Linked DNA regions of Cricetulus griseus. The protein of the gene in region 1 binds, or shares a complex with, the protein of each later gene. Links are inferred from orthologs where the notes say so. Each region holds a gene or a part of one and is shown in the gene's direction. Other genes may lie near its edges.

Evidence for each region.
Region 2: Xab2 (region 1) and Ppie share a complex: the UniProt entries of both Homo sapiens proteins name them as parts of the XAB2 complex. The link is inferred for Cricetulus griseus from reciprocal best matches to the Homo sapiens genes XAB2 and PPIE.

The regions. Positions count from the first base shown.
Region 1 is NC_048597.1:88,507,854-88,518,780, reverse strand, and holds the start of Xab2 (pre-mRNA-splicing factor SYF1), read left to right. Parts: upstream 1-5,627; 5' UTR 5,628-5,714; coding exon 5,715-5,765; intron 5,766-9,102; coding exon 9,103-9,251; intron 9,252-9,533; coding exon 9,534-9,657; intron 9,658-9,941; coding exon 9,942-10,139; intron 10,140-10,927. Other genes in the region: Pcp2 (Purkinje cell protein 2 homolog), read left to right, coding at 1,287-1,337, 1,925-2,039, 2,210-2,334, 3,463-3,582; protein PET100 homolog, mitochondrial, read right to left, coding at 3,712-3,795, 4,364-4,396, 4,565-4,651, 5,433-5,459. UniProt on the Homo sapiens protein: Involved in pre-mRNA splicing as component of the spliceosome. Involved in transcription-coupled repair (TCR), transcription and pre-mRNA splicing.
Region 2 is NC_048595.1:29,855,126-29,865,321, forward strand, and holds the start of Ppie (peptidyl-prolyl cis-trans isomerase E), read left to right. Parts: upstream 1-812; 5' UTR 813-882; coding exon 883-913; intron 914-1,817; coding exon 1,818-1,916; intron 1,917-3,725; coding exon 3,726-3,769; intron 3,770-4,399; coding exon 4,400-4,426; intron 4,427-5,296; coding exon 5,297-5,378; intron 5,379-5,993; coding exon 5,994-6,094; intron 6,095-7,199; coding exon 7,200-7,323; intron 7,324-10,196. UniProt on the Homo sapiens protein: Involved in pre-mRNA splicing as component of the spliceosome. Combines RNA-binding and PPIase activities.

The DNA.
Region 1 (10,927 bases):
CATACATACATGCAGGCAAAACACCCATACACATAAAATAAATATAAAAGTACTTTTAAAGCCAGAATGTTCGATGCCCGGCCAGTCTTGCCGAAGCCAGGAGCTCAAGGTTTAATTTTTTCAGTCTGTGTCTCAAAAGAAGGTAGGTAGTGAGAGAGGGAGAATACCTCATGTGTACCTGTGGTCTTTACAAGATCATGCACACACCACATGTGCACACATACACTAAATATACAAATCCCATCCACTCACCCCCAAAAGAAAAATGTAACTTTTTAACTTATTTGGACTTTTTAAAAGGTTTGTTCTATTTTATGTGTAAGTATTTTTGCCTGTATGTATGTATATCTGTACACCATGAGTGCGCCTGGTGCCCAGGAAGGCCAGAAGAGAGCAATAGATCCCCTTGAACCAGAGTTACAGAAGGTTGTATGCTGCTATGCAGGTGCTGGGAATTGAACCTAGGACTCTAGAAAAGCAGCCAGTGCTCTTACCCAGGAGTCTCTCTAGTCCTGGAAAAGGAGCTTAACTGGTTTCCTAAAAGGCTCTTGGAGACAGGACCAGGTTCTCAGGGCACGGTCAGAAAGCCACAGCTGTTTGCTGTGGTAGACAGGGACTTCCTCTCCTGTTCTATGTGGCAATGAGAGACTGAAGACACTTAACTTGGCCTTTGAGGGGCAGATGAACAGGAGATCTGAAGTTTCTTTCAGGGTGGCCCTAGGGGTGCTACAGGACCTCAGAGGTGGTGAGGATCATGAGCCAAGTTGCCTTGTGTGTCTGTGGAGGGTACAGGGATTTGAAGAGGAGTTGTAGACCCCTAACTACCTCCTTGGCTATCCCCCTGCAGATGTCACCTGCCCTGCAAGGGGATGAACCTACAGACAGCAACTGGATGGCTTGGGTAGGGACATTGTGCAGGCTCCACCCTCCTGTTGGTTGGTCTTCAACATTGCACTGGCTTCTTCCTGGCCCCACTTGAGAATCCTCAAGGCCCTGTGAACATGGCTGTGCCCAGTGAGGTCCTAACCAAGACTGCCCCACCCCCTCCACCCACACCCACCCCCTCCACCCACACCCACCTCAGCATCAGTCTGGATGAACAATTACCTAGAGATCATCTTTCTGGGGCTTAAGCGTGGATGGGAGCAGATGGGATGTGAGCTGGGGATTTGGGGATGGGGAAAGTATCTGCCCCCCTCCCCCCCCACATCCTGGCCCTTTAAAAGGCCCTTTCAGGTGTGGGGGACCTGACACAGGCCAGGAGGAAAGTGTGGGAGAGACACATGATGGATCAGAAAGAAGCAAGGGGCGAGGGGGCCTCAGACCTTCTGGACAAGGTAAGAGGGCTCTGCCTGACTCTACCACCAGCTCCTTGAGGTCTCAGCACCCGTGATTGGCAGGATCACTTCATTTGTAGGGCATCTAATTAGCAAGCAAGTCTCTGGGGTCCTCTGACCCAGTTACCATAACACATGGGGGGAGTAGTAGGAGGGTATAAGCATCCTCCCCCTGCCCAGGGCAAATGGATGGATTCTTAGTACTGTCTCCCCCAAGAGATGGTAGATGTTATGATTTAGGGGCACTTCTGAGCCCCATTTCCTTGGTAAGCGTCCCAACCCCCCAAACCATCACCAGTCTGGTCTTGATCTAGGACAGTGGTGGAATACTGTCTCTAGAGGCAGTACCTTGTAAAATTGTGCTGCAGGCTGGGGCCCCAGGCTGGGAGGTAGGGGGCAGGGGGTGGGGGTGGGGGGTAGGGATAGGTCAGGGAAGGAGACTCACGTTTCATTTGGAGAAACTCTACAGACCTGTGAGGACTATGGTGAGAGCAGAGATGGGAAGGCAGACACCGGTTCAGGTGGGAGCTGGAAGGAAGACAGGAACTGTACAGCACCCAACTAAACCAAGCATATCTGTCCCCAAGGCAGGTTCACCAGACCAAGAAGGCTTCTTCAACCTGCTGAGCCACGTACAGGGCGATCGGATGGAGGAGCAACGCTGTTCCTTGCAGACTGGTCCGGGCCAGACCCCAGAAAGCCGTAAGCTGGACACGCTGCAGGATTGGGGTGGGGGGTGCTTCCTGAGAAGCAAATGTGGCAGGGATGAAGGGGTCCTGAGATTTTGTGGGTCTTGGGAGTCAGGGTGGGGAGCACCATGTGACCTCCTTTGGAGTCTGTATCTATGGCCCACCTGTCTCTGCTCCAAGTAGAGGGTGGCTCTGCTCCAGAGATGGATAACCTCATGGATATGCTGGCAGACACCCAGGGCCGCCGCATGGATGATCAGCGGGTAACAGTCAATTCCCTGCCTGGCTTCCAACCTATCGGTCCCAAGGTAGGTGATGTCTCAATAACCTGTGGAGTGTAGCAGTGTAACTCTCTAGGTCTATGCCCCATCTCCAGCCAAAATAGGATGGGACCCTATCTCTACACGTCTTGAACTCTGGGAAAGGAAAGTGCAGGTGGATGTCAGAGGGGCTGAAGATCATACAGGGCTCATTCTGGTATCAGAGGCATGGCTGGAAGTCACAGCTCCTGCCACAACATCTGTGTATCTGAGAAAGGGCACAGGGAGAAAACAGTTTTCCTATGGTCACCCTGGTGGGAGGAGGGCATATGAGCTCACACACCCATATTAATGAAGAACATGGGTTGTTTGGAGTGTTTTGTTTTATTGTTTTTTGCAATAGGGTTTCATGTAGCTCCAGGTGACCTCAAATGCACTAGCCAATGATGACTTTAGACTTTCAGTTTTCCTACATGTACCTCCTGGGTGCTAGTGTTACAGGTGTGAGCCACCAGGAGCATCTGTGTGGTTGGGGATGGAATCTAGAACTTTGGTGAATTCTCTGCCAACTGAGCTACACCCTCAATCCTGTGTCTGGGTACACTAGCATACATGTTACAGGTTCATGTGCCCATATGCAGGTGGAGGCCAGAAGTCAACCTTGAAACTGTTCCTCAGGCGCTGCCATCACCTTGTTATTTGAGACAGGATCTTTTGCTGCCCTGGAACTCACCAAGTAGACCAGGATTCCCTAGGGATCCTCCTGACTACTCAAGCACTGACCGAGATTACAAGTGCATAAGGCCACATCTGGCTTTTCACTTTGGGGTTGGGGATTAAACTCAGGTCTCCCTGTGTACACAGCAAGGATTTTAATGACTGAGTTATCTCCTCAGCCCATTTATTTGTTTGTTTTTGAGTCAGGGTTATGAACCTGGAACTTTTTGTGTAGACCAGGTGGCTTTGACCCTGAGATAATTCTCCATCCTCTTCTTGAGTGCTGGGATTACAGGTGTAAACCAACAGCCCAGGTTCTGATCAAGACCCCACTGGGAGCTAACCATGTCATCAAATACCACCCTGATTGGCAGACAAAAAGAAATGTTGTGTGGAGGCACCTCTCTGGCTTGCACTTTCTTGGTCCCCTCCCTATTTCTGACCCTTCTTCATCTGCAGGATGGAATGCAGAAACGACCTGGGACCCTCAGCCCTCAACCCCTGCTCACCCCTCAGGACCCTGCTGCACTCAGCTTCCGCAGGAACAGCAGCCCCCAACCCCAGACACAAGCTCCTTGAGAGTTCTAGTCATCCTGGGCCCCAGACTGGCCCCTGAAAAGAACAATAAAACACTTGGCACTATTAACAAAGAATTGAGTGTGTGTTATTTCCTGGGTGGAGGGGCTGGGACTTGAGGACTTGGAGGTCTCAGGGGTTCTGCTGAGCAGCTTTAAGAAGTCTCTCTTCCCTCTGCTTCCGGATCTTCTGTTTGAATTCTTCTAGTTCCTGGCGCTGGAATGAAGAAAGGGGTGTGACAGAAAGGAAGGAGGGGCACACACCTCAGGGCCTGGACTTACTCCCACTACCCTCCCTTTGGCTTGAGAGTTCAGTATCCATACTGGGACCCCATGCCAATCATAACTACCATACCAGTGCATTCAATTCATCCTTCAGGGAGAAGGTAAAATATTAAATCATTTGTGTCCTCCCACTTTCTAAGACAGGGTCTTACATACCACAGGCTAGCCTTGAGCTCACTATGCAGCAGAAAATATCCAGAATTCCCAATTCTCCTGTAACCATCTCCTAAGTGCTGGAATGCTGGAATTACCTCCCCCTCTTCCAGGCTCCCTCTCTCTAGCCCTATACAGCCCAGGCTGGTTTCAATCTGGTAATCCTCCTACCCCTGCTTCCAAATGATCGCAGGCGTATACATCATGAACAGTAAGAAACGTGTGTGGAAACAAGGTCTCTAGCTCTGGATAGCCTGGAACTCCTATTCATTTTTCTGTTTCCAATTTCCTATTTGAGGCTGAGGGTGAAATGTATTCCAAGCCCCCTGGAAGAATGGGTTACTTACCTGACCCTCCTTCTCTCGTGGCCACAGCTCCCTCTGTGGGACAAAGTCACAGGTGAGAACACAAGCCAGAAGAATCCAGAGTCCCACATGCAGCGCAGGGTTGACTTCATGGGAGGCAGGTAATGGTCCCAAACACCAAGCCTCCTACCCTGCTTTCCCCATCCCCAGGAATGATCCAGCAAGCACTCTCCTGATACCCACCTTTCGCTGGATAACAGAGTCCTCAAACCACTCTGCCTGATTGGAGATCCAGAACATAACCACGGGGAAAGTGAGATAGAGTGACATCTGCAAAAGCAGAGATGGATAGACAGAGCCCAGAACTGTCACCACCCTGGTACAGGGAGATTGCAGGAGAGCCCGGAAGAAGATCTATCCTCCTACACAGGTCAGGATCCCGGCCTCAGCTCCTCCCCCGGAGCCCCAGAAATCCTACCAGGAGAACGGAAACCCGGCACCTTAAAGCCTGGGCTTCATGAGTCAGAAAGCTTTATTCGTAATAGTCCTGTCCTAAACACACACACACACACACACACACACACACACACACACACACACACACACACACACACACGGGAGGGGAGGGGGAGAGAGGCAGAGCAAGGGGGGGAGAGAGGCGTGCATAAAGGAGCGCGGTGGAGGACGGGGGAGGGGAGGCAACAGTTCAAGAGCTCCTACTACAAAGACACATCCTTCAGACGTTATTACCTCCCAACCTGATCGTCGAAACATTTCAAATAGAGGGGCCTCGTTTTTTCAATCATACTCTCCTACATCTAGGAGTAAGCCTATCTGAGGCCCATTATGAGCCCAGGGATCTCCTTCTGAAAATCCCGCTCTGTATCTGAAGCCTCCCTTCACCCTCACTGAGACGCTTCCTCGGGCCAAACCCAGACTCTCCATTCAAAGCCCCCACACCTAGCGCTCCTTCCGCGGGGGTTCCAACACACAGCTCAGATACTTTCTCCGTGGAACTCCCCACTCTGCACTTCTCTCACTTCCCACATCTATCCTCAAATTCAGAAAGAGCCTGGGTCCACACGTCCGACACACTCCTGGGCTCACTGACCCGAAACACCTCCAGCTTCACCCCCATCTCGCTTTTCCGGTTCTACGAAGCCACTTCCGCCCAAAGGCGATTCTCCAGCAATGCAAAATCTCATTGGTGCATCTCAAGAAGCAATACTGAAGCTGAGTGGCCATAACCTCTCGTTGGCTGCGTCATCTTCCGGCGCCCCCTCTCTGCTTCCGGTCACAGCCTTGACGATACGGGTCTGGTCGGAGGGGGCGGGCCTTCTGTGAATGACGCCATCAGAGCACGACTCTCGTCTGTACCTGGAGTGCCAGGAAGATGGTGGTGATGGCGCGAGTACCGCGTCCCGAGCGGCCGGATCTTGTTTTTGTAAGTCTGCAGCGAGGCCACGGGTGCTCCGCGAGGGAAGACCCGAAGCTAGTCCTTCCAGGGTCGGAATCTGACTCTCGGGCGTGTAGACCCAGACTGTGCTTGTCCAATCCATGGAGAGCCTAACGAGCCAAAGGCGACATGTCAAAACATTGGCCATGCCGGGATTAAAGAACCGGATCTTTCGTCGCCTGAGTGAGGGGCTGCTGTTGAGGTTAAGGCCTAGATGTCTCGGGCCGGGAGAAGTGAGGTCAAGAGGGGAATGGGATAGCAGGGGAACGGCATGGATGTTGATAGGCATAGTGGCAAGGTTCGAGTTGTGGCTTCTGGATGGCACCTTGATTTCTGGGGCTACAAGAACCTTGGAGTATGAAGAAAAGTCTAGTGATGTAGATAGCCCCTAGAATCCTAAAAAGGTGAAAATTTGGTGGCTGAAATAGAGGCCTCATATTTAAACCGCGTTCATAGTGGTCTGGGTTAAGGGCCATAACGGGGTTGTGTGTTTAACCAAGGGTCTCGTGCATGCAAAGCAAGCACTCTACAATTGATCTATATCCCACCACACACACACGCACGCACGCATGCATCCCACCTCCTGAGAATGTAAAACCTTTAGCTTGCAATGTCTGGGATAAAGTTGAGCTAAAGTACAGGTTAATGGGATCCTGGAGGGCCAGAAGTTTGATGGACTAGGTGGCTTAAGTAAAGATTTAGTCACCTGGGGCTGAGGAGGTGGCGCAGTTGGTAAAGTGCTTGCTATACAAGTGTAAGACCTCAGTTCAGAATCCTAACACCTACATAAAATGCTAGTGAGAGACCCTGTCTCAAAAATAAGGTGGAGAGCAATTGAAGAGGACCTCCAGCCTCTGCCAGCACCAGCTCCCACATGTGTGTACATGAATGTATACACAAACACACAAATTATTTTTGTTTGAGATAGGATCTCACTATGTAGCCCTGACTGGACTGGAACTTACTGTAGACCAGCCTGTCCTTGGACTCATAGAGATCCACCTGTACCTGCCTCCTAGAGGAAGCTGGAAGAAAAAAATTAATTAATTAAAAACATTAAAATTGGGCTGGAGAGATGGCTCAGAGGTTAAGAGCACTGGCTGCTCCTCCAGAGGTCCTGAGTTCAATTCCCAGCAACGACATGGTGGCTCACTACCATCTGTAATGAGATCTGGTGCCCTCTTCTGCATACAGGCCGAACACTGTATACATAATAAATAAAGCTTTAAAAAAAAAAAACATTAAAATTTTGAGCCCAGTGTAGTAGCACATACCTTTGATTCCATCACTTGGGAGGCAGAGGTAGGCAGATCTCTGTGAGTTTGAAGGCAGTGTAGTCTACATAGTGAGTTTCAGGACAGCCAGAGCAAAAAGTGAGACTCTGGCAGGTAGGGGTGTGTGTGTGTCTGTGTCTGTGTCTGTGTGTAAACCTTCGTTATCTGGGCCTGGTATAAAGATATGGTGACAGTGTGAGCATGGGGAACAAAGGCCTAATGTCTGGGAAGAAGTGTGTTGTAATTAATACAACCTGCTGTTCGTGGCAAAGGCTTGGCACCTGGACCTGGGCCCTGGTGTTATGCAAGTCTGGAGATTATGGGATTGCATGGGAGAGGATAATAGATGGTGAAAATGTCTAAAATTCACTGCATATGTGTATGAAATTGTCAAAGAATTTTTTAGAGTGTGGGGATTGTGATCAGGAAGTGGGCAGTAGAATTTACTGGCCACAGCTGATATCTCATTAACCACTAGTGGCTGAGAAGTCTGTGTGGACAGTTGAGTTCTGAGGGCCAGAGGTCTGAACTAACACTCTAACACAGTGGTTCTCAACCTTCTTAATGCTGTGACCCTTTAATACTTTTCTACATGTTTTGATGACCCCCAACCATAAAATTATTTTCATTGCTACTTCATAACTAGGTTTTTTGTTTGTTTGTTTGTTTGTTTGTTTTTTTTGCTGCTGTTATGAATCACAATATAAACATCTGTGTTTTCTGATGGTTTTACGCGACACCTGGAAAGCGTTCTTTGTCCCCTCAAAGGGGTTGCAACCCACAGGCTGAGAACCACTACTCTAGCATCTGAGTGACTGGTAATCCCATTTCAACAGAAGAAGAAACCATGCCTGGGACACTGCTATGTTGTGTTTCTTTATTTGTTAAAGTTTTGTTTTTGTTTTTTGTTTTTTGAGACAGGGTTTCTCTGTGTAGCTTTGGAGCCTATCCTGGCACTCGCTCTGGAGACCAGGCTGGCCTCTAACTCACAGAGATCCACCTGCCTCTGCCTCCCAAGTGCTGGGATTAAAGGCATACACCACCAATGCCTGGCTTTTTTTTTTTTTTTTTTAATCATGTTTATGTGAGCACATCTTTAATCCCATCACTTGGCGGGCAGAGCCAGGCAGATCTCTTGAGTTCAAGGCCAGCCTGGTCTACAGAGTGAGTTCCAGGACTGGCAGGACTGTTTCACAGGGAAACCTTGTTTCAAAAGAAGAAGAAAAAAAAGTGTGTGTGTGTGTGTGTGTGTGTGTGTGTGTGTGGTGTTGACAGAGGCTGGAGTTACAGGTGGTTCTGAGCTGTCTGATACGAGCGCAGGGAAGATGAGGATAAGTTCGAGTCCTCTGCAAGAGCTCTTAACTACTGACCCATGTCTCCAGCCCTCAGCCCTGTTTGTTTTTAAGTATAGTGTGTTTGTAATGTGTGACTGTGTATTGGCCAAAAAGAGAGGTTAGCTGTATTCCTTAGTTGCTCTCCATCTTACTTTTTGAGACAAAAGTCTTCTCACTGTACCTGAAGCTCACTGGCTGGCTAATGGGCTGCAGGGATCTCCCTGTGTGTGCTTGACCAGCACTGGGATTATAGATACACACTGCCATGCCTGGCGTTTACATGGGTGTTCTGAACCAGGTTATCATGCTCATGCCTATGGACTAGGTCATCCTTCCACTCCTGTTTGTTTTGTAATTTTAGCATGTTCGAGAGGTAAACCGTATGTGCCACTTGTGTGCAAGTGGAAAGTAGAAGACATTGATTCTCTCCTACCATGTGGATTGAACTCAGGTCCTCAGGCTTGGTGGCAGGTGCCTATACCCGCTGAGCTTTTCACCAACCTCCCATTTGTTTTGTTCTTTTGAACAAAAACAATTCTTTTGTTCTTTTGGTCTTTTTGCCTCTGAAGTGATGGGAGTATAAGCTTGCACCACTGCCTTTTGGAGGAGCATAGAATTGTAGTAGAAGCCTAGAGTTTGGCACTAAACCCTGTGTGGGGTGTGACTCCACTGAGACTAAGGATGGGCCTCTCTCCTCCCCTTCCCTGGCTCTGGCAGGAGGAAGAGGACCTTCCCTATGAGGAAGAAATCATGAGGAACCAGTTCTCCGTCAAATGCTGGCTTCGTTACATCGAGTTCAAACAGGGGGCCCCAAAACCACGGCTCAATCAGTTGTATGAGCGGGCACTCAAGCTGCTTCCCTGCAGGTACAAATGGCCTTCTCTGTGCTACCCTGCTCACCAGCCCCCACCCCTCCATATACAGTCACACACAAGTAGTAATGTGTCCCAGATGATCACTGTGTATTCCCTTATATATCCTGTATATTCACAACCCCTGCTGGGTTACACCTTTCCTCATTCCCAGTATTTCCCTTCCTTGTAAGAACTCTCACCCCTCCTCAGTCCCTTTTTGTACCACAGTTGCCTCTGGAGCAAGGAAAGGGTTCTAGAGTTCCATAAGCCATATCTGTCTTCACTGCTCTCTAGCTACAAACTCTGGTACCGCTATCTGAAGGCACGCCGGGCACAGGTGAAGCATCGCTGCGTGACTGACCCTGCCTATGAAGATGTCAACAACTGCCACGAGAGGGCCTTTGTGTTCATGCACAAGGTGGGGAGCTGGGGAAGGGGTATGCAGTGGGAACTATTTTCCCAGGGAGATGTAAACAGGTGTCTACCCCTTCCTTATAGTGCTCCAGCAAAATAAAGTATAGGTCCACCAAAATGCTCCACCTACTTGAGGAACTAACGAGTTGGCTTATTTACAGAGCCTGAGTGAGGGGTAATGAGACCTATTGCCTCCCTGCTGCCCTTATGTCCTAGATGTGGATGGTAAGCAAGCCATGGAGCCTGTGGCTCAGACATGCCTCACCCATCACTTTCCATTATTTCCAGATGCCACGTCTGTGGCTAGACTACTGCCAGTTCCTCATGGACCAGGGACGAGTAACACACACCCGCCGCACCTTTGATCGCGCCCTCCGGGCACTACCCATCACACAGCACTCTCGCATCTGGCCCCTGTATCTTCGATTCCTGCGCTCCCACCCACTGCCTGAGACTGCTGTGAGAGGCTACCGTCGCTTCCTCAAGGTAAGCACCATTGAATAGTCCTGTTCCCAGGTCGGCTTCCAAACCTTGACTCACTGGGATAAGGGCCCTCATGCAACAGATAGGCTGCAGGAAGAGGCTCCTATGGTGTGTGGGTGTGTTTTGCATACCCATGCATGTAGAGGCCCAAACTTGACACTGGATGTCTTCCTCAATTACTGTCCACTTCATTGAGGTGGGATTGCTTACTGAACCCAGAGCATACCAGCCAGAACCAGATTTGGCTAGTTCTAGCTAGCCCCAGCAATCCCCTCTCTCTGCCCCTCCAGTGCTACCATGCTAGCCAGTGTTTATGTGGGTTCTAAGGATGCAAGCTCCAGTCCTCACACTTGCAAGGCAAACGCTTTGTACTGATCCTTCTCCCAAGCCCTGTGGTTTATTATCTTTAGTTTCTAAGTAGTTAGCTTTTGCCTTACACCTTTTCCACAATCTGTGTTGACTTACAGTGATGGAGACTCACTCTCTCCATTCCTCTTCCCAGAATTCTTGTAGTCTGGTAGCCCCACCTACACTTCCTGCCTGGCTACATCCTGCCTGTCCATTGGCCAAAACAGCTTTATTCATCAACCAATAAGAGAAACATATTCATGGCATACAGAAGGACATCCCCAATCAGAGAGGTGTCAAGGCTAAAGGAATGGCCAAGGCTGGACCACTCAGGTCTGAGGCTGAAGGCCCAGGCTATATTACTGCCTCAGTTCCTCTTCCTGTGGCTGTGACAAAACACCCTGAAACAATCTTACAGGGAGAGGGTTTGTTTTGGCTCATGG
Region 2 (10,196 bases), on another chromosome or scaffold:
TAAATGCTCTATCCAAAACAGGTGAGGGTATGGATCATTGGTGGAACATTTGCCTAGCAATGGGCTACGGCTCCAGCACCATAATAACTAAAGTAAAGCCTGGTGTGATGGTTTACACCGTTAGCCCTACCAGATATAAGCTAGCCTGGTCTACATAGTGAGTTCCAGGACAGTCAGGGGTACTTATGGATCCTGTCTCTAAATAAATAAATGAAATGAAACTAATTAAACTTCTGTTTGAGGTAGCGTGGAGATGCATAACTGAAACTGAGGTACTCTAACAAGCAAACAAACGTGGTCTTACTATTTTCCTCTGTTAATGAAAACCTGTAATGTAAATATTATTTAATTTAGAACAGGAACATAGCAAATAGTATTCCTCAAGGGTCAGACAGTAAAATATCGTAGGCTTTGGGTGGAACAGGTCTCTTCCCCTTGTAACATGAAAGCAGCCAGAGAATAAAGAAACGAATGGTGCTCTACCTAATAAAACTTCGTGATACTGAAATTTTAATTTCATAGATTTTTTCCATCGGTTATGAAATACTGTCTTGCTCTTCCCCGCCCCTTCAAAATGTAAAAACCATTGTTAGCTTCCGAATTGGCCAAATTGGCTGGGCAGGCCGGTCGGTAGTGTGTTGGTGGAGGGGCATAACTGCCGATAATTCCCCGTTAATCGAACCAAGGTTTGTTTCCTCCACACCGCCAGCACCGGGAGCATCCGAACCTCACTCCCCCGTGGGTACCGGACTCCAGCGGAAGACGGGAAGGGGCGGAGCCTGCGGTGGCGGCGCACAAGAGACCCGCCAGGACCTAAGGGGAGGGGCCACGGCAAGGGGGCGTACCGAGCGACGGCTTCCGGCGGAAACGGGAGTGAGCAAGATGGCTACCACCAAGCGTGTGCTGTACGTGGGTGAGCAGGCTTGGGAGCTAGGCGGAGTCTGGGGGATGTGAGGAAGGCGGCGAGCAGTCCGGCTCTGTGGAGGGCTTGCTGGGCTGAGAGTGTGAGCCGAGATGGGAAGAACCATTCCGGCGACCTTGCTAGTCCACTAAGCGCACAGGAACCCCGACCAGTGACAGGAGTTATGGGCTTCCAAATCCTCCCGCCCATTCTTTTTATTTAGTGCGGAAATGTCTGGGTCTCTGCCCTAAAGGAAGGAGTTACCAGACTAGTCAGGAGAAAGTGGGAATTAGCCTAAACACCACAGTTTGATAAGCGCTGTAGTAGGGGCGAACGATGACGACAGGGACTTGGGTGCGTGCAAACTTTCTCTTGCCGGGAACGCAGAAGTTGAGCAGGAGTTAGGCAAAAGTGTTAGCTGCACGGGAGCCGAAGCCCGAAGGTGTAAAATAGCCTGATGCCTGGGGGCGGGTAGGTTATTATTTTTTTTTTCGAGAAACCCAGGGGAACTTGAGTGGGAGCTAGTAAGGCTCAGGTGATAACCTGTGTACGCTGCTATTTAAGGAGCTCTCAGGTCTTCTTGAGGACCGTGACGTGTAAGACTTTGAAGTCTAAGAGAACCGATGGGTTTGTTTCCGTTTTCACAAAATATTCCTACTGGTTTTGGGAGGGGGTTTGACGCAGGGAATGGAGGCCCCCTGGTGACTTGTGAAGCTGTTGTGGAACCTTGGAGATAGATTCAGATCTGTTTGAAAAAAGGTTGGAGAAAGGAACATAGCGTGGGTGGGCAATAGAAAGAGAGGTGTTTGTGTAGATGAAGGACTGGATGGAACGATCCCTCTGTCCTGGCTTGCCCATGGGCTGCAGAGATTTTTGAGTGCGCACAGGGGTGCAGAATGTCCTTGGCTATTTGCAGGTGGGCTGGCAGAAGAGGTGGACGACAAGGTTCTTCATGCTGCTTTTATCCCTTTTGGAGACATCACAGATATTCAGATTCCTCTGGATTATGAAACAGGTGGGTCCTTTGGGTGTCTCTAATATTCATTACCCTCCTATAGGAAAAGAATTTTAAAAGATTAAAGTCACATGGGCAGTGGTGGCACATGTCTTTAATTCCAGCACTCAGGAGGCAGAGGCAGGTGGATCTCTGTGAGTTCCAGGACAGCTAGGGTTACACAGAAAAACATCATCTTGAAAAACCACCTAAACAAACAAGCAAGCAAACAAACAAAAAAAGTCACATTCCAACTCTAAATTTGCATTCTTAGACTGAAGTTATAGCACAGTAGAGCTCTTGTCCAACATGTGAGGCCATGGTTCAGTTCCTTGAGCGCACACACACACACACACACACACACACACACACACACACACGGGGGGGGGGTAGCATTAAATTCTCTGAGTCTGAGTCTAGGGAATCTTTTGCCGGTAGTTGCTGGGCATGGTAGCACATGCCTGTAATCCCAGCATTTCAGAGGCAGGAGGATAGAGTTTAAGGTCAGTCTAGGCTTCATAGTGAGACACTGTCTGCAAAAATACATGCAAAGAAAAAGTTCTGTTTACTTTTTGGGGGTTATGGGTGGAAGATTGAGATAGGGTTTCTCTGTGTAGCTCTAGCTGTCCTGGAACTCACTCTGTAGACCAGGCTGGCCTTGAACTCACAGATCTGCCTGCCTCTGCCTCATGAGTACTAGGTTTATAGACTGCACCATCACCACTGGCTGACTTTCTATTGGACTGTGTAACTAAGTTGACTTTATTGTGTGTGGGCTTTCCACTTAGATCAGAATTTGTGTGGGGGTAAAGGCTGAGTATCCTTACCAGATTTTAGGATTTATGTGTAGTTGTTGATAAAACTGTATATTTGGTTGGTGGCTTTTTCCTGTTTTAGTTTTGTTTTGTTTCTGCTTCAAAACAGTCTCACTGTTTTGTCCAGGCTGGCCTCTTTAATTGGTAATCATTCTGCCTTAGTTTCCCAAGTAGTTGACATTACAGCTATATACTCTGGCATCTACATTGAAATTGTATATTTGGATAAATAGTTGATAAGGCTAAATAACTTATCTTGCTAGTTGCACTGCATGAAAGGTTAAGGTTTATGTTTGACTTTCATAGATGAATAGAATGCCTTTTAAAATATTTTCCCCCTTTATTTCTGTGTGGTACAGCAGGCAGAGGACAGTCCATAGGAATTGGTTCTTCTACCATGTGGATCCTGGGATTGAACTCAGGTTATCAGACTTGATGGCAAGCTCCTTTACCCACTGAGCCATCTCACCAGCCCTCGGTGCTCATTGTAAAGATTTCAGAGCCAGGCTGTAGTGACACACGCCTTTAATCTCAGCACTCAGGAGGCAGAGGCAGGTAGATCTCTTAAGAGTTCAAAGCCAGCCTGGTCTACAAAGTGAGTTCCAGGACAGCAAAGGCTACACAGAGAAACCCTGTCTCAAGAAAAACAAAAAACAAAACAAACAAAAATCAGTTCAGGGCTGGAGGGATGGCTCAGTGATAAGAACACTGGCTGTTCTTCCAGAGGACCCAGATTCAAGATTAAATTTCCAGCACTCATATTGTGGCTCCCAATCATCTGTAACTCCAGTCCAAGGGGGGATCCAGTCAGGTACTTTATCCATAGAAATGTTTATTATTGCTTTAAATATTCCTTAATAGGGATTAAAGAATGAGATTCTGTCTTTCTAAATAGTGAATGGGTAGGATTTCTGGTGTCTGGACATGGCATGTGACCGATTTCTTTGCAACTGTTCTCTTTTCTTCCATTGCCTCACATGGTAATTACTTATATTGTGCTTTTTCCTTTTTGCAGAAAAGCACCGAGGATTTGCTTTTGTTGAATTTGAGTTGGCAGAGGTGAGACTTCTGTACTGCCATTGGTTAGTCTTTGGTTGTTATAGAGCAGTGGTTCTCAACTGTGGTTGTGACCCCTTTGGGGATGCATATCAGATGTTTATATTATGATTCATATCAGTAGCAAAATTATAATTATGAAGTATCAACGAAATAATTTTATGGTTGGGGGTCACCACAACATGAGGAACTGTATTAAGGGTGCATCGTTAGGGAGGTTGAGAACCACTGCCGTGGAGGAAGCTATTTCCCATTTACTTAAGTTTTGAGTCTTAGGCTGATGCTTTTGGAAGTGCTGTTTGAAGGAAAGCCTCTTATCAGACTGTGATCTGTTGGTAACAGCTCAGACTGACTGTCAGACCCTGTCATGCTCTGCAAAGCTCTTACAGCTCTGTTCATAGAACGTTCTTGCCTGGCTATGCTGGTGTTTATCTCTTGTGCCTTCAGCTAGAAGCAGATTATGCCACTACAAGCTCGAAAATTGCCCAAGAAGTGTTGTTAGTTTCACACACAAACTAGGCAGGAAGTACAGAGATGACTTTTTCCAGTTTATTTTGCTGCCTGTTGTGCATTTAGACATGCAAGAAACATTCAGATACAAGCCTAAACTTACACCTTGCATTTCCTTGGCAGGATGCTGCAGCAGCTATCGACAACATGGTATGGCTGGGATCCCTCATTCTAACTGAAGTTGCCTTTGCTGCTACAGGGGTCCTTGTTCAAATACTGGTGGTGTTCTGAATCTCTGAAGTGTCACGATTGGGTGGGGAGGTAAAAGTTGCCATCAAATAAAGCTATTCACTGTGAACTGATTGCTGGTAAAATTAGTTCGTGCTCGGACACCTCTCCACTTAGCAGTGTACTTCCTGCTCATCCTTCTTGGCTGGTCTCTCACTTGCAACCCCACATGATGGTGAATGGTGAACCCAGTGCCAACTGATTGCTCACTGAAACTGCATATTTGCAAAAAGGGAAGGGTTTCATAAAATGTTAGACTAGTTAACAATTGAGAAGAAAAATTCAGTAAGAGTAACTGAAGGCTGTGCTACTGATGCAGACGACTAGAACAGCCTGGAAAAGTCCTTGAAAATGATGACACTCTTAAGATTTGTGGCTGGCCTAAGACACTTACGTGTCATTTCATGTCAGATATGAAGTGCAAAGTTATCGTATCCTGTTGCTAGAATTTTCTGAAAAAAATCTTTAAAACTAATCATCTCAGCCAGGCGGTGGCAGAGGCAGGCAGATCTCTGTAAGTTTGAGGTCAGTCTGGTCTACAGAGTGAGTTCCAGGGCAGCCAGGGCTGTTAAACAGAAACCCTGTCTCAAAAAACAAAGCCGTTTGCAGCGGCTCCAGGGGTAAAGTTTCCTGTAATTTCCTTCTTTGGTACTGTCTGTGATGAGGGCATAGCTTTTGTTGCCAAGGGATCTGGATTTAAAAAAGAGACGGATCAGATCTCAGAAGTACATGAAAAGCTGCTGGAGATTTTTAATCTGACAGTTTAAGCAACTGGATTTACAATCATTTCAGAATGAATCTGAACTCTTTGGACGGACAATTCGTGTCAATTTGGCCAAACCAATGAGAATTAAAGAGGGCTCTTCCAGACCAGGTGAGTGGGGCGCCTCATGGAGTACTTGCCAGGTCCTATGGCTTGGCCTCCTTTATGTGTATTCTCAGTGCTGCTTCTGGTTTAACAGAAGTGGAGGGGACAAGAGGGTGGTTCACATTGGCCAAGGGAATGAGCTACCTGTATCGACGAACAGCCACAAAGCCAAAGTAATTGTTCCTCTTGAGAACCCTGCCTGGTCTGTTTTTTCTTTCTGGTTTTTTGAGACAGACTTTGGAGGCTGTCCTAGAACTAGCTGTTGTAGACCAGGCTGGTCTGGAACTCACAGAGATCCGCCTGCCTCTGCCTTCCAAGTTCTGGGAATAAAGGCGTGTGCCACCACCCCCCAGCCCCTGCCTGGTCTCTTATCACCCAGTTTTCTTGGTACTCCATTCCTGGGAAAGGCCTGAAGCCAGCATAGCCTGTCTTTGCCTTTGGCACAGCTTTTTCCCTTAGTTCTGCTAAGTGCTGGACCTCCGGGGAGTCCTAGTGGGAGCATGGTCTTGAACAGTTTCAAAGGGAACTTCTGGCCAAGAAGACCACAGAGATGACCAAAGCATCTGCCTGGCAGGTAAGGGACAGTCTGATTTCTTCATGTGTGTGTCTTTTTCCTTCTAGTTTGGTCAGATGATGACTGGTTGAAGAAGTTTTCTGGGAAGACTCTAGAAGAGAATAAAGAAGAAGAAGGGCCCGAACCTCCCAAAGCAGAAACCCAAGAGGTGAGAGGGAAGGTGGTGCCTCTCCCAGAATACAGACTTTGCTTTCCATCGTTATGGGCACTTGCAGATGCATGTATTTACAAAAGTGCAGAGTGAGTGAGGATCGTATCTGTGCTCCTCCACACCAGTCAGGCAGCCCCCCTGTGTTGAGGTCCTTGGTGCCTTGCTCTGTCCTATTCTTGGCTGCATATAGAAGTGATAGGGCAGGTAGTGTACTTCCCTTCCCTAGTATGTGGTTTCTGGGTTTGCCTAAGATAGTTCTGGCTCTCAGCACACTCACTTCCTCTGTGTACCCTGTGAGGTTGACATTCTTCTATGCTTTGTTCATGGCACATGGCTTTTCTGTCCTTTTTCAGCTGAAACAGTACCAGTCACTCTTGGCTTCTGCAGACCTCTTGTGTAAGGATAACTCTTTCTGCCAGGCCGCCCGAACTGCCCCCCCCACATGGGTGCCCAAAATAACACACAGAGACTTATATTAGGTACAATGCTGCTGGCCAATGACTAGTATTTCTTACTTGCTAGCTCAGTCTTAGTTATCAACCATAACTACTAATCTATATATTTTTTAAGAACTTATCTTATTGGACACCAGCGGCAGGCATCTTCTCTTGCCAGGATCACATGGTGGCTCCACAGAGAAGAGAGGAGGAGGAAGAGAGTAATTTCCTGCTTGTTCCTGCTTATATTCTGAGTTGCCTGCTATGTCACTTCCTTCCTGTATCACAAGACTTCTCTTTACTACATTTCCCAGAATCCACCTTGACTTCTAGTCCCACCTGTCTTGCTTCCCTATTGGCCAACAGTGTTTTATTTATCAACCAATAAGACAAACATACACACAGAAGGACCTCCTCCATCACTCCAAAGATTACTTGTGCATCTACTTAGGAGCACTAGCATTTATATTTTTCTTGTTCTTTTTTCCCTTTTTTTTGAGACAGGGTTTCTTCATGTAGCCTTGACAACCCTGGAATGCCTGCTCTGTAGATCAGGCTGGCCTAGAACTCACAGAGATCCACCTGCCTCCACTAGGATTAATGGTGTGCATCACCATTGCCCAGCCACTAGCATTTCTGACTAGTATTTTTTTTCCTGCACCTAGGGAGAGCCCACTACAAAAAAAGCACGGTCAAATCCTCAGGTGTACATGGACATCAAGATTGGGAACAAGCCAGCTGGCCGCATCCAAATGCTCCTACGATCTGATGTTGTACCCATGACAGCAGGTAATCAGATTCTCTATGGTCAGATTGGCAGAAAACTGGTTGCTGAGCAGTCTTCCCAAGGTTCTCACTGCCTCTGCTCTTATTCCCCTGGCGTTGTTTCTAACGTAAATAAATGAATTTGTGGCATCTGAGGTCTTGGGATCTAGAAACAGATCAGAGCTGACATTGAAGCTTCATAATGCTGTTTTACTATTTTTTAATAATAGAGAGGTTTTTTTAAAATAACACAAGTAATATATTATTGCAAATACATTGCGAATAATATATTCATTGTTTAAAAGAAAGTATCACACACACATATTCTAACAATATTACATCCAGCTCTATGCCCTAGAAGTAACTGGTACCAATTTCTAGTTTATTAAAATATTGACTTATTTTTTAATATAAGTTTTACTATATATACATATAACTTAAGTTATCACAAAAGTTGGTTTGTAAAATCATTAGTTGCTTTATAATAATAGGGAGCTAGTTTCATTTCTTAGCTAATTATTTTGGTTTTGACTTCCACATTAGAAGATAATAGATATATATTTACCCCTCCCTTTTGTGTGTGTGTGTGTGTGTGTGTGTGTGTGTGTGTGTGTGTGTGTGTGTGTGTGTGTGTTTTCAGTTTAAGCCTTTCTTTTGATTTACTGCCCCTGAAAAGGAATTAGCTGTTTCCCCCTTCCACACCTCCTTATCTGTCTTGGTAGTTACTATAAGTTTGGTTAGGCAGCTCACAGATACCTGTCACCCTAGCTCCAAGGAATCTGATGCCTCTTCTTGCACCCACTTTCACATGTACATACTAGCATACAGACACATTACATGAACAGGATTTTTAAAAAAGAAATCTCAGAAAAAATTAGCGTTGCCGGGTGTGGTGGCATACCCCTTTATTCCCAGCATTTGGGAGGCAGATCTCTTGAGTTCCAGGCCAGCCTGGACTACATAGAAGGGTTCCAGACTAGCCAGAGCTACATAGTGAGACCTTGTATCAAAAACAAATTATTGTGTATGTGCATGTGTGTGACACATATGGAGGTTAGAAGACAACCTTTAAGAGTTCCAGGAAAGACATGAACAAATGTCTACTCAACAAAGAAAAAAAAATACCATAAAGTTCAGCTTGGTGAGCCAGTGACTTTATGGTTCTTACAGGAGTATGAGTAAGTAGTTACTTACAGGAACAGAAATTGACCCAAAGTAAGCTGCATTACCAAAGGCTCATAGTGGCTTGTAAAAGCTAGGAACCTGGTGCTAACTGTACAGCTTCCAGCCGATTGACAGATTAGAGAGTGGTTTTCCAGGCTACTCTGGTGGTTTGAGACTACAGGGAGCTCCATTTGTCTGACAGTGTCTCTCAGCAGTTCTTCCTGCTTAGGGAAGAAAGGATCCCATTGAATGTGGTCAGTTTCAGGGACTTCCTGAATTGACAAGGAGCTTGAAGGATAAACATCCTGAGTTTTTTTGGAACACCCTAAGTCTTAACAAGCTTTCCTCCAGCCTGGGAAGCTTTATCTTGGAGGAAAGTACCACTTAACAGTCAATTCTGTCCTTTCACTTTCACCTGGATTCTGTGGTTCAAACTTGGGTCTCTAGGCTTGCACAGTAAGTGCCTGCCTTTACTTACTGAGCTGTCCGACTGGCCCTGGTTTTTTCTTTTTTTCTCTCCTTTTTTTTTTTTTTTTTTTTTTTTTTAAAAAAATCACTTTCAGGGCTGGAGAGATGGCTCAGGGGTTAAGAGCACTGCCTGTTCTTCCAGAGGTCCTGAGTTCAATTCCCAGCAACCATACGGTGGCTCACAACCATCTATAATGTAGTCTGGTGCCCTCTTCTGGCCTACAGGGATACATACATACATACATAATAAATAAACAAATCTCAAAAAAAAAATTACTTCATGAGACTGGAGAGGTGGCTCAGCAGTTACAAACACTGGCTGCTCTTCCTAAGGTCATGAGTTCAATTCCTAGCACCCACCTGGCTCAAGGCCATCTATGATGGGATCTGATGCCCTCTTCTGGCATGCAGGTATATATGCAGATAGAGCACCGTGTGCATAAAATAAATCTTAAAAAAAAAAAAAATCAATCAGGCTGGAAAGATAGCTCGGTGGTTAAGAGCACTGTCTGCTCTTCCAGAGGACCCAGATTCAATTGCCAGCACCTACATGACAGCTCACAACTATCCATAACTCCTCCTACTCCAGGGTATCTGACACCGTCACACAGACATACATGCAGGCAAAATGCCAATGTACATAAAATACAAATAAATTATTGAAAAAAATCATTTCTTTATCTATTTAGTATGGTTTGGGGATACAGCAGAGGTAGAATGCACATATTCTGTCCTATTTAATCGGAGTGGCATGTGTTATGCAGTAGTTCAGTATTGTAAAGGCTTATAAGCAACATAAGATGAGAATACAGTTAGCCCTCTCCATCCGTGGGATCCACATCTGTGAATTTAGTGAACCACAGCAGAAATACGTGATGGGCCAGTGAGATGGCTCAGCAGGTTAAAGTGTCTGCTACCAAGTCTGGTAACCTGAGTTCAAGCCCTATAAGTTGTCCTCAGACCTATACACACATGTACAATAGATATACAATAAATGAATGCAATAAAGAATTTTAAATATATTTGAGGGGAACATTGCATTTCTACTAAGCATGCTTGTATTGCCCCCTTTATATATCCTAGATAATGTAGATAACAACCATTTATGGAGCGTTTATATTGTATTGTGTATCATAGATAATGTAGAGTCCTGGGAACCTTCCACATGTGGATACTCAGGAGCAGCTGTGCAAAAGTAAATGAGTAAAACATGTTTTATTTCCCCCACTTTCATAACCCCTCATCTTTCTGGGTAGGTACCTTAA